Linked DNA regions of Oryzias latipes. The protein of the gene in region 1 purifies or fractionates together with the protein of each later gene. This does not show direct contact. Links are inferred from orthologs where the notes say so. Each region holds a gene or a part of one and is shown on either strand. Other genes may lie near its edges.

The links.
Region 2: the proteins of wdr5 (region 1) and cct7 purify together in Homo sapiens (affinity purification with mass spectrometry; 3 studies listed by BioGRID and IntAct, with this or other methods). This does not show direct contact. The link is inferred for Oryzias latipes from reciprocal best matches to the Homo sapiens genes WDR5 and CCT7.

Annotation. Positions count from the first base shown.
Region 1 is NC_019870.2:23,024,156-23,030,605, forward strand, and holds the start of wdr5 (WD repeat-containing protein 5), read right to left. Parts: upstream 3,664-6,450; 5' UTR 3,473-3,663; intron 2,837-3,472; 5' UTR 2,813-2,836; coding exon 2,732-2,812; intron 2,537-2,731; coding exon 2,428-2,536; intron 1,273-2,427; coding exon 1,199-1,272; intron 1,077-1,198; coding exon 987-1,076; intron 1-986. Other genes in the region: bromodomain-containing protein 3, read left to right, coding at 4,029-4,052.
Region 2 is NC_019876.2:13,089,073-13,094,400, forward strand, and holds part of cct7 (T-complex protein 1 subunit eta), read left to right. Parts: coding exon 1-29; intron 30-117; coding exon 118-224; intron 225-302; coding exon 303-481; intron 482-556; coding exon 557-728; intron 729-812; coding exon 813-977; intron 978-1,550; coding exon 1,551-1,739; intron 1,740-2,843; coding exon 2,844-2,941; intron 2,942-4,453; coding exon 4,454-4,586; intron 4,587-5,328. UniProt on the Homo sapiens protein: Component of the chaperonin-containing T-complex (TRiC), a molecular chaperone complex that assists the folding of actin, tubulin and other proteins upon ATP hydrolysis.

The DNA.
Region 1 (6,450 bases):
CTCTCCCTCGCCACATGAATTTGCTGCTGGACGTCTGTCCAAAACTGTGTTCATAAGCTTGACGCCCCAGCTGTGTGTGGGAGGAGCTACCACCAGATGTTTTCAGCCTGATGGCTGCATGGAGCGGTGTCTGTGTGCATCTCATGACAATGCATGGAAGACATGGAGGATGTTTAGAGATCAGAATGAGTTCTTTAGAGAAGCTCTACAGAAGCATCTGAGCCACGTCTCATCGATCAGAGATTCTCCAGCTCCACTCCACTCCTGCTGCAGAAGCTGCTTCTGAATGACAGCCGGCTTCCACTGTGTCTCCACGTCTCTGTGAGCCCGTTTAAAGAAGACCCCAGCAGGCTGCCCCCAATGCTGCTCCCGTCTCTGCCAACCTCCTGGGGTTGGCGTAGCTGATCGACTCAGTGAGCATGTCCATGTTTTTATATATATTATGTATGTAGTGGAGCCTTTTTTCTGTAAGAGACATACGACTGCTACTGTTGTGATTGCTGTGTTGTCAGAACAAAATCCTTAATAAAAAGTTGTGTGGGGGGAAAAAAGCTCACATTGCTTAAAAATACAGACTGGAGAGGAAATGGCCGCTTCTTTGTTCAGCAAACTGTCAACAGCCGCAAAGCATCATATAAACAATGTCATCTAACACTCAAGACATTCATAGGCTAAAGCAGCCGTCTCCAACTGTGTTTACTTTATACGAGTGGATGAATCTGATTAAGAAAAGGGTGACTCCAAAAAAATGGCAGCAATAAAGTGGCATGAAAGCAGCAAAAATAGCTGTTAACAAAAATGAACAGTCCAAGATGCCTCTTCTCTGCCATCCTGAGTGAAGGTGAGTGAATGCTTGTACAACCTTTTACCCAGATGTCATTACTTAGGAAATTAAAAAGGGGAAATATACTAAATTAAAGGGTAAACAAGAATAAGTGCCAAAAAAATACGTTTTGGCTCCTAGAACAAGTGCAGAACCTTCTTACCGAGTTGACATCCCAGATTTTCAGGGTTTTGTCGTCTGATGCAGACACCAGCAGGTTGGAATCAGAGGACCAGGCCACATCAGAGATGCCCTGCAGGATCATGGGAAATAGTTCAGACACATAAGAAGGAGAAGGGCGCTTCTAAAATCTATTCCTCCCACAGGAAATCCAGAGAACATATCAGAGCAATATCAGAGTACAGTTTTACTCACAAGTTTGTGTCCAGATATGGTTTTCTCAAACTTGCCATCATACGCTCCCCAGATCTTGATGAGTTTATCAGCAGCTGGAACAAGAGAACATCAGTCAAATCTATGAATTACTGTCATCACATCAATTATGAAGCCAACACTACACACAAATGTAACACAGCATACAAATTGATCCAAATGACAAGTTTAATACATCTGATAAACAGAAAACTATATTTACTAGATTAGAACATTCTACGTTTAATTCTAATTTGGTTCTAGTTTTCTCTGATTATTTCTCCTTGACAAGTTCATTTTGGGGCTGGGGGCCTCAGTGAATGTTAACTTCTTAGTTCAACGTGTTCCCCACCTCCACAGCACAGAGGCACAGTGACGTATGTTAGTTGGATGGATTATGGGATATTGGAGCATCAGTGAACAGCACTTTATAAGTTTCTATTTTTTGGTTTTCCCAACAAAACTAAACACTGTTGGTTCAGAAAATAAATCATCATCAGTTTCAGCATGAAACTGTCACACTTTACCATCTTTAGCTGATATCTGTCAGTTTATATCCTCGAATTCCAACATTATTCTGCTGATTTAGAGTGATAATTACAATGCGTGAAGTTTATTTGTACTATATTCTACTATATTTATAAAGACAACAAATATGCCCAAACATTGTTCTTGAAAAGATAGAAAGATTTCCAAGTATTTGGATGCTGGTTACAGCCCTGGCATTGTCTTACCCTTTCACCCACCTATTTCATCTCTGAGACTAACTCTGGAGGCGGATCGGAGAATGGAACAAAATATGACACCATGGTGAAATGGGCCTTTTAAAGTCCAACGTCAGGGCAAAAAGCCAAAGGGGCAGAAAGGAATAACACTACTAAAGTGGCTTTAGTAAAAAAATATATATGTACATAACTACTTCACATGTTTTGTTCTAACAATTAATCCGAAAAATCATTTGAAATAAACTCAAGATTCCTAAATGTTTGTTTTTTTTCTCTCTCTTTTTTTTTTTACTTGTCCTGTCCAACAGCTGGGCAGGTAGATGAGAGCTGACGGCCTCTTGTTTAGATTCCTAAATGTTAACATTTTGTAAACTCTACATAGTTTTTTTTTTTCATTGAGTAAACTCCCTTTGAACAGGGTCAACATCAACCAATATAATGGTTTCATGTTGAGTACATTTTGAGACATTCATTGCTTAAAAGCCACACAGAGGAGGATGAACTCACATGAGCTGGCGAGCCATTCTCCACTTGGACTGAATTTGACAGAAGACACGGCTTTGGTGTGTCCTGCTAACGTGAACTTCAGGCTGTAGTTTGGCTTTGCAGGCGCAGACTGTGGGGGGGCACATTTAATGCCATTGGTAAGATAGAAAAGAAGTACATATCAACTCTGCTAAAACAAAAACCAAAATGCATTGTTCACCATTTAATCTTGTATTAATTGGAAAACAAAAGAAACAATTGATGCAAAGCTGCAGTTGCACAAGAACACGGCCCAGAGTACTCAGTCATTTTCTTATATCCAGACCTTGCTTTGGCTTGCAGATGCTGACTGCACAACTGGAGGTTTTGTGTCAGTCTCTGGTTTCTTGTCTTCGGTTGCCATCATGAAAAAAATAGCATCTACTGAGCACTGCAAGGAGACAGAAGAGCACACAAGTATTTCAAATTACATGCTTGCACAGCCCCTTCGTCAAATTTATTATACTCTCGTTTATAGTTTAACGTGTTGTAGAAATATTTTGTTTATTAAAAGGTAAAGTTGATGCATACAATTGCAATGTAGATTGTATAGCCGTATTGGCTAAATTAAGCGTTTACAAATTAGCTCGATGGCTAAAAATTTTAGCTAGCTCAGTTAGCTTCGGTACGCTGACGTATAAAAACTCTTTTTTCTTAACTGGCAAAACAAAAACATCGCGAAGTGGCATTTGATGTACATTAAAGTCAGCTTCCACATTTTTAACGTCAAAATGTTTACCATAAAGAAATAATAGGTGAAAACAGCATCATATAACAAAAGCGACGCGGAATACCTTCCTTTGGCGCAACTTCAGACAGACTTTATATATTTGTACTTGAAAAAAAGACGCGTTGCATGTTCAAATGGATATGAAATAGACGTTAAAAAATATAAAGTGCTAGATGTTCAGGAAAACTATCAGCACTATGTACATGCGGTCACTTGTTTTTAGCTATTGACAACCTGCCACAAAAGCGGCCCTCTACTCCTCAGACAATGAAGATTTACGCAAACGCTCATACTTACAGAAACGTTTTACAGATTCACCTCCAGATTTTTTTCCTCCACCGAAGAAAACACGATTAAAACCAGTCTGTTTTTTCGTAATATGATCCTAAACTTACAAAAAACTAATCTACCTGCCTCCTTGTATACGTTTGGCTGCGAGAAAACCAACGAAGAAACGAGGGAATGTAGTGTGCCAGTGCAATGCGCAGGCGCGTCACACACAGAAGTAACGGAAACCTGTGAGGATCAAGTATCGATGGCACGAGTTAGAATAAACGTCACAAAATGCAGTTTTCCCTTAAGACGTAAACATTTTGCAATTAATATTTCAATTTACCAGAAAAAAAGTTAAGTGAAGCAAAATATATAATTCTCTTTTGATAATAGTATTATCAAAAGAAAAATATGTCAGTGCAAAATATTTGCGTTTTTTGCCAAATGAAAACAGTGGACACTCCAGAACACTAGATGGCAGTATTCCCCTTTGACTTCTGGGCTGACGTGCCCAGACAAATAGACACGAATTGAATTGCCAGCCATGTAGGTGCAGCAGGTCGGGAGAGGAAGTTAGCAGATGGTGACTGACTTCGCCGTGGAGGTACTTGAAGCGCATACTTTTCTGTTCAAGCTTCGGTGTAAAGTTTTACTGTTTTTGAAGAGGAGCATTGCTTGAACTTTTATTCCAATTTAACAATACGAGTTGGTAAACAACTTGCCGCTACCCTCCCTTCCCGTTAGATGATGATCGGAGTTTTTTCTCGAAACGGATTAAAAAGAAAACTTAGGTGATTTTTTTAAATTGCTTAAATACCTGATATATATTATGACTAGTTAAAATAAAAAAGTCAGACTTTTTTTTCAATAACATTTTATAGCAGCATTTTTAGGTGTTGCAGAGTTAAAGAAATAAAGGATTTTCGTTCACCACCAGGCAAGAAAAACATTTCATTTGTGCACAGACTAGCTAATTATGATAGCTAACACGTTGGACGTTTCTTGACCTCGAAGAAAATATTGGTATTCATTTGCATTGTCTCTTCAGGAAGTCTGTGTGGTTTGACAAATAATTTTTTACAATAGTTGTTGGAAGTAACGTTTTGGGGACTACGCCTCCATCTGCTAGGATACAAAGCCCTTATTTAACTGAGTAAAACTTTGAGAGTTCGTGCACACGTGAAGCATTTCAGTATCCAGTAGAAGGCATTCCTCGCGCGTGTCCAACAACAACAGGGGTTCTTGTGGGTTAAAGTGATAAAACACGCGGTTTTTGTCACGTCCGCCCACTTCCGCCTGGCACGTTCTGCAGTTCTTAAAGACCCTTTCTGAGGAATGTGAAGGAGGGAATCTGCTGCAGTGGTTTTGGTTTGCTTTCATGGAGCTGTAGCTTCCCATGTTTACATTTTTAAGTTGGTTAATTACTCCAAAATTCACTTTTTATTTGTGGTTGTTTTAATTTTTATTACATTTTGCGTTTTTTGATCTTCTGCATAGTGGAAACATTAAAAAACAAACAAAACAGTAATAGATTACAACATTCATTATTATATTAAGGATGAATTAAAAAAGCATAAAATATCAAGGGCTGAGATAACTAAACAATTATGTACTTATAAGTTTACTACATAAATGAATATATTAAGCTGTAAGTTTACAATTCTGGAGGAATATCTGTGAATTGTCACAGAGGTAAAGTTAGCTATATATTCATACGATATAAAAATTCTTCTAAAGCTTTTAAGTCATTGGACCCAAATCCCTCTAGAGAATAAAACAGATTAACCACTATCAGTGACAGCTATTTAGATAAGCTTTCGAGTTTTTTTAGTGTCAAATTTTGTGTTTTTCTGCAATAGCTTTTAATTTATTGAACCCAATCACGCCAGATCTCTCTAGAATAGTAAAACGGATTGACCAATATTGGAGACAGCAGCTCACATTAGCTTTTGATGCTTTTTCTAATTTTAGTAAATTTCTTAGTCTAACGTTTTGCACTTTTCTTCAATAGCTTTAAGTTATTAAACGTTAAAAGTTATTAAAAGTTATTAAATTAAATAACTTAATTTGTTTTACTCCAAAATAACAAAATTAGCCACTATTGAGGGACATCTGTTTAGATTAGCTTTTAAGTTTTTTTTGGTTTTTTTCTCAGTTTTAGTTAATTTTTTAGTGTGTTTGCCTTTCTCTTCAATAGTTTTGAAGTTATTGAACCCAGTCACCCCAAATCACTCTAAAATAGTAAAACTGATAGACCACTATTGGGGACAGCACTTCACATTAGCTTATAATGCTTTTTCTAATGAGTTAATTTCTTAGTGTAAGTATAGTCTCAAGGCACAAGGCTGGGAAAGGTTACAGCAAAATCTCTGCTAGTTTGGAAGTTCCTACGAGTACAGTGGCCTCCATCATCCTTAACCCTTGTGCTATCTTAGAAGATCCCACCCGTATTTTGACGTGTTCTCCCAACCATGACAAAGGTGGAAAGATTTTTAGTAATCCATGGACACCAGTGAAGATCACAAATCATTGAAGAAAAAAGGTTCAGCGCATTGTCTAGTGGGGTCTAGATGACCCAACTCCCAATCTTAAAGTGCCTAGGATAGCACAAGGGTTACGGGGAAGAAGTTTGGTACCACCAGGACTCCACCTGGCCGGCCATCTGAGCTTTAGTCATTGAGGTGACCATTAACCGATGGTTACCCTGTCAGAGCCCCAGCCTTCCTCTGTCAAAGGAGAATTACCTTGCAGAAGGACAACAGTCTCTACAGCAATCAAGTATTTAGGCCTGTATGACAGTGTCCAGATGGAAGCCCCTCCAAAGGACGCTTCCCATCCAACCCGATGGATCTTTAAAGATACTGCAAACAGGGTTAGTGTGTCTGTGTGACACCTGTGTTGTAGAGTTTGCCAAATGTGTAAAAATGATTATGAATGTACAACATTTTTGGAATAGGGTTTAACCAAATTAGCAAATAGAAATTTGGAAAAACAATCAGAGA
Region 2 (5,328 bases), on another chromosome or scaffold:
GATGGACAAACTGATGGTGGATGCCAGAGGTAAGGAGGGATGGGATTTGGAGAAGTTTAAACATGACAGAAAATGTTGTTTTGTTTGTTTTTTTGTTAACATGTTTGCATTCTCCAGGAAAGGCCACGATTTCCAACGATGGCGCTACCATCCTGAAGCTGCTGGATGTGGTTCACCCTGCTGCTAAAACCCTGGTGGACATCGCTCGTTCGCAGGATGCTGAGGTGAGTAGAAGTGGTATTCTGAAGCAGCTTTAAAATTGAAATTGACTTTTAAATGAAGGCGCCTCTCTACATATACAGGTTGGAGACGGCACCACGTCCGTCACCCTCCTGGCCGCCGAGTTCCTGAGGCAGCTGAAGCCGTTCGTGGAGGAGAGTCTCCACCCTCAGACCATCATCCGCGCTTTCCGCACTGCCACCAACCTCGCTGTCAGCAAGATCAAAGAGATCGCCGTCTCTGTGAAGAAAGACGACAAACAGTGAGCTGCCGATGGTTTTTGCGCAGCTGAGACTCAGTCCATCGTGTTTGCTGATGTTTACCTCCATCCTGTCAGAGAGCAGAGGCAGCTGTTGGAGAAATGTGCAGCGACCGCCCTGAACTCCAAACTGATCGCTGGGCAGAAGGAGTTCTTCTCTAAGATGGTGGTGGATGCGGTCATGTCTCTGGACGAGCTTCTGTCTCTGAAAATGATTGGCATCAAGAAGGTCCAGGGAGGAGCGCTGGAGGTGGGTGTTCTTTCTCGTCTCTGAGCGTTTGGTTTCTAGCTGGCTGCTTTTTTGACTCCCTTGTGATCATTTGTTTGCCCGCAGGATTCCCAGTTGGTCTCTGGCGTTGCTTTCAAGAAGACGTTCTCCTACGCTGGCTTTGAGATGCAGCCCAAACGCTACGATAACCCGAAGATCGCTTTGCTCAACGTGGAGCTGGAGCTGAAAGCAGAGAAGGACAACGCTGAAGTTCGTGTCAAGTCTGTGGAGGTATGAGGCTGCTACAGCAAATCCTCTTTAAGCTGTGTTCATACATGTGACATGTGTTCAAGAACTCGCTCAATTTAGCTCATGATGTTCACACTGGACAACCAGGAAGGGGCTTTTTTCTTCTTTTACTGTTTACTCGCGCATCTCCACCACCTACAGTTGGGAGAGGCTCTGTGTGAAATGTTGAAGTGGTGCAAATCTCATGAATCTTCTTCCAGGCTTTTTATTTCTCAGCTCTATTGCAATATATGAAAGACTTGGTGTCACATAATTTGGACCAGGCACAAATCACAATTATCGATTTTCTCGGCACTTCCTTAAATTAAAAGGGATGCCGTCCATACGTCTCTACCAAATCCTGATCGGTTGAAGTTTGATGGGGTTTATCTTTCAACATGCCCATAAAAAGTTTTAAAAACTTGTGTAGCAACGTTTGAACGTGAGTTTTAAATGAAAGCCTGAAATGTGCGTTTACGTTGATCTCTATTTGGAAGTGGTGGCTTGAACGCCCATTGCTGAGAGCAATTTCCTTTCCTGCTTGGTGAAGAAACATTTCGTCCACTTCTTCTGCAGGAATATCAAGCCATCGTGGATGCAGAGTGGAACATTCTGTACGACAAACTAGAGAAGATCTATCAGTCTGGAGCCAAGGTTGTTCTGTCAAAGTTGCCCATCGGCGACGTGGCCACCCAGTACTTTGCAGACAGAGACCTGTTCTGTGCTGGCAGGGTGCAGGAGGAGGACCTGAAGAGGACGATGATGGTGAGACAAAAACAATGTTTTCTGAGGTGTTTTGACGGCAAGACTCTGCTTTATTGAATCAAAAAAGAACCTGAAATCTCGTTTTAGGTTTTTTTGCTATAATGTTCTTTTGCCCTCCCAGGTTTTTGATGTGGAATACTGTTGGGATTATTTGAAGGCCCACTCCGATGAAAACTGTGTTTTTAAAATGTTCTTGAGGCATTTTTCTCATGATAGAGGACATGTAGAAAGAAAATTAAGCTTAAAACTGCATTACTGAGTATTTCTTTCTTCAAACAAATCGGGAGCAGACGAGACAAGTGCAGTTTGATAAAGGTGACGTAGAAAATACGCTGAGCGGGCCACTTCCTGCTCTGCTCCATTCAGATGCATCCACTTGTAGATAGATCCATGTACATCTTCATTTTCCTTGTCTGAGCTGGCATCTGGATCAAAACTATATGGCTGGATAGCTCCAATACTGGTCGCCCTTTTTTTGCAACAGTAATGTGAGGTTGGGGTTATGAGGGGCTGTAAGCTACCGGGAAAGCACGTAAACAGGGAGCTCTCAGTTATGGGTGACGGGAAAGGAGGCGGGTTACTCTGCACCAACAGTCCTGCTCACACCTCAGAGGTGAATTTCTTGTGAACTACTGCCTGCCGCTCTGCAGAAACTGTTTTAGAAACCACACAGGTTTTTGTCTTTTGGGCTAAAAACGGCATAATCTTAACTGAAAGACCATTAAGAACAATCTTACAATAGATCAAAAGATGCTAAATGGTAAATGGCGTATACTAATATAGCGCTTTTCTTCCTACAAGCACATAGCGCTTTACAGTCACAGACCCATTCACCCAGTCACACACACATTCACACACTGGTGGCGGCTCCGCTGCCAAACATAGGCGCCTGCCTACCACCAGTGGCAAGGTGGGGTTCAGTGTCTTGCCCAAGGACACTTTGACTCATGGGCATGCAAGGCGGGAATCGAACCTGCAGTCTTACGATCATGGGTCGACCGCCCTACCGCTGCACCACGGCCGCCCCAAAAGATGATCTGAGTGGGTTTTTAAAGACGGTCAGACAGCAAACACGCTTTGATCTGTGTTGTCATGTGATGTTAGGCTTGTGGCGGCTCCATCCAGACGTCTGTGGGAGCGCTAACAGAGGATGTGCTGGGACTTTGTGAAGTATTTGAAGAGGTTCAGGTGGGAGGAGAAAGGTGAGAAAAATGAGTTGACTTCAGATCCATCTGTGCATTTTGTTCTTCAAATACCTTTTTTAAAAAAATTCTATATGCAAATGGGTAGATTTTGTGAACTGCAAATGACTGCATTTTTATGCTTTCAAAGTAGATTTGGCAGATGTTGCATTTAAGGTTGGGCGATGTCCCTTAAATTGGCAGTTGACGATGTTTGCAGTAAACCATTGGGATGGACGATGATATCATCGGGGGGGATTTTAAACTTTTCGTTATTATATAATTATTATCTGTTATTTAACTTTATTGCTTTATTTATTTTATTTCCCCAACTACTGACTCATCCACGATGATCCAGTATAAACTGAGGGAAGTGACTAACAACAACAACAAAAAACAAAATAGAAAAGAAGTAGTCCGCTCCTGCACTTGATTAGTCAAGTGGACCGAGCGACCGTGTCTCTGGGCAGAGCAGACGGACTTTGTGTTTGAGGTGAAGGGAGGATGCTTTGTTACGTGTGCGCTATGATTGGGAGACTTCGGACTGCCATCCGTCCCGCAGCTCTAGGTGAACGAGCTACTGAGCTCAGGAGAACCGGGTGTCCCGGTAAAAGTGTGTGTCCGGGCAGAGCTCGGACCGCCAGCTCACACAGCGGCTTTGGGGCGGTGTGTGAGCTTTTCAAAGCAGAAATGCCGCTCAGTCCTTAAAAACCGTTCAATCACGTGGATTTGTGTTTCCAGTCGTGTCCCGAAAAAACAAAGGCTGATGTTATTCCCACATATTTACGTTCAGCCAAGCTGGAGATTGCAGCATTTCCCGCATGGATTTTATGTTCATCAAAGGTTAAATGTTGTTGTTAACCCGTGTTAGCCTCTCCTAGCCCTGGCTTCTTCCGGCTCTGTTCTTCTACAGAAAAAGCACTGACCACATGGATTAAAATTAAAATGATGACCAAACAAGTGCTTCATAATAACCGTCACATTAATAAAAGCACGTTTAGTAGATCGTTTTGTATATCACAGAGCTGCCAGATATCTATGTATGTAGCCTCTCATTGGGACTCATTCCCTCTTCCGGTATTTCAAACACTACTGCGCATATATGAATGATTTATTCTGACCGAAAGTGTGACCATGTGAACATTTGTTATAATCGGAAAAAGTTTTTCTGGGCCCATGTACACGATTGAATTCTAATCCGACCATTTAGCTGATCGAGATATTTTGTACATGTAATCACGGCTTATGGTGTCGACTCGCAGCGTGGCGGCGGCGTGGCATCACGATGGTGTCTCTCCATCGTGATGTCAGTCAGCCGTCATGATGGATGATGGTATTGTCGGTCGGCACAACCCTTGTTGCATCCACGATTTGCTGCTTTTGATGAAAAAAAAACAGTTTTAGTTTGACGTTTTGGTTTCTGTGGCATAATATAAATGTATTTTTCTTGTAAAACTCTTGTCAGTTTTTTAAATGAAATAATTGAGAATGAACATGCAATATGACAGGTTTACTTCCTGTTTTACTTTGAAGGTACAACTTCTTTAAGGGGTGCCCGAAAGCGAAGACCTGCACCATCATCCTCAGAGGCGGAGCTGAGCAGTTCACAGAAGAGACGGAGCGATCGCTGCACGACGCCATCATGATTGTGCGCAGAGCCATCAAGGTGAGTTGGAGCAGAAGAGACATCAGCTTTGGTCATCAATATCCTCGGTTGTCAGTTTCTTTTTTTTCTTATTTTGTGCAAAATGCAGTTTTTATTTTTTTAATCATTTTTTCCTCCAGTTTGATTTTAGAGTAAAATACATCGTTGTTTTGGTCTTGACTTCCTGTTGGTCCTGCTTTCTTAATTCTTGGCATGTTTGTCAAATTTAAATGTTTCAAATCCTGAAATTCAGTGTTGGACAAACATACTGCGAGATTTTGCCGAGCTTTTGTCTGCACTTGAATTATTTTATTTTTATCCTGTAGTGTCTTTAGAGATTTTGAATTGTGGCTTCAACCTTTCTCTGGGTGTTTTATGCTGATGACACTGCTGTTTTCTAACAAAGAAATTATCCTGGAATTCCTTTCATTTCAACTAGAAATCATGCATATAAATGATTTTAAAATTTATTTGTATAATAGTGCAAAAGATAAGTATTTGTTCAATTATAAACGTTCCCTTCAATATACGTAGTAATGCAATGCTGGTTGTCAGTGAGGTCAAAGGTTTCCTGTAGGTTATCAGGTTTGCACTGTCGCTGTTATTCTGGTCCATTCTTCCATACAGATCTTCTCAACAGCTGGGCTGTTGCTTGGCAACACAGACTTTCAACTCACTCCTAGATTCTCTAGACCACTGTAGAACCTTTAAATGCTCTTCATGCTGGAAGATCCTCAGCTCTCACTGCTGGAAGGATGTTTTT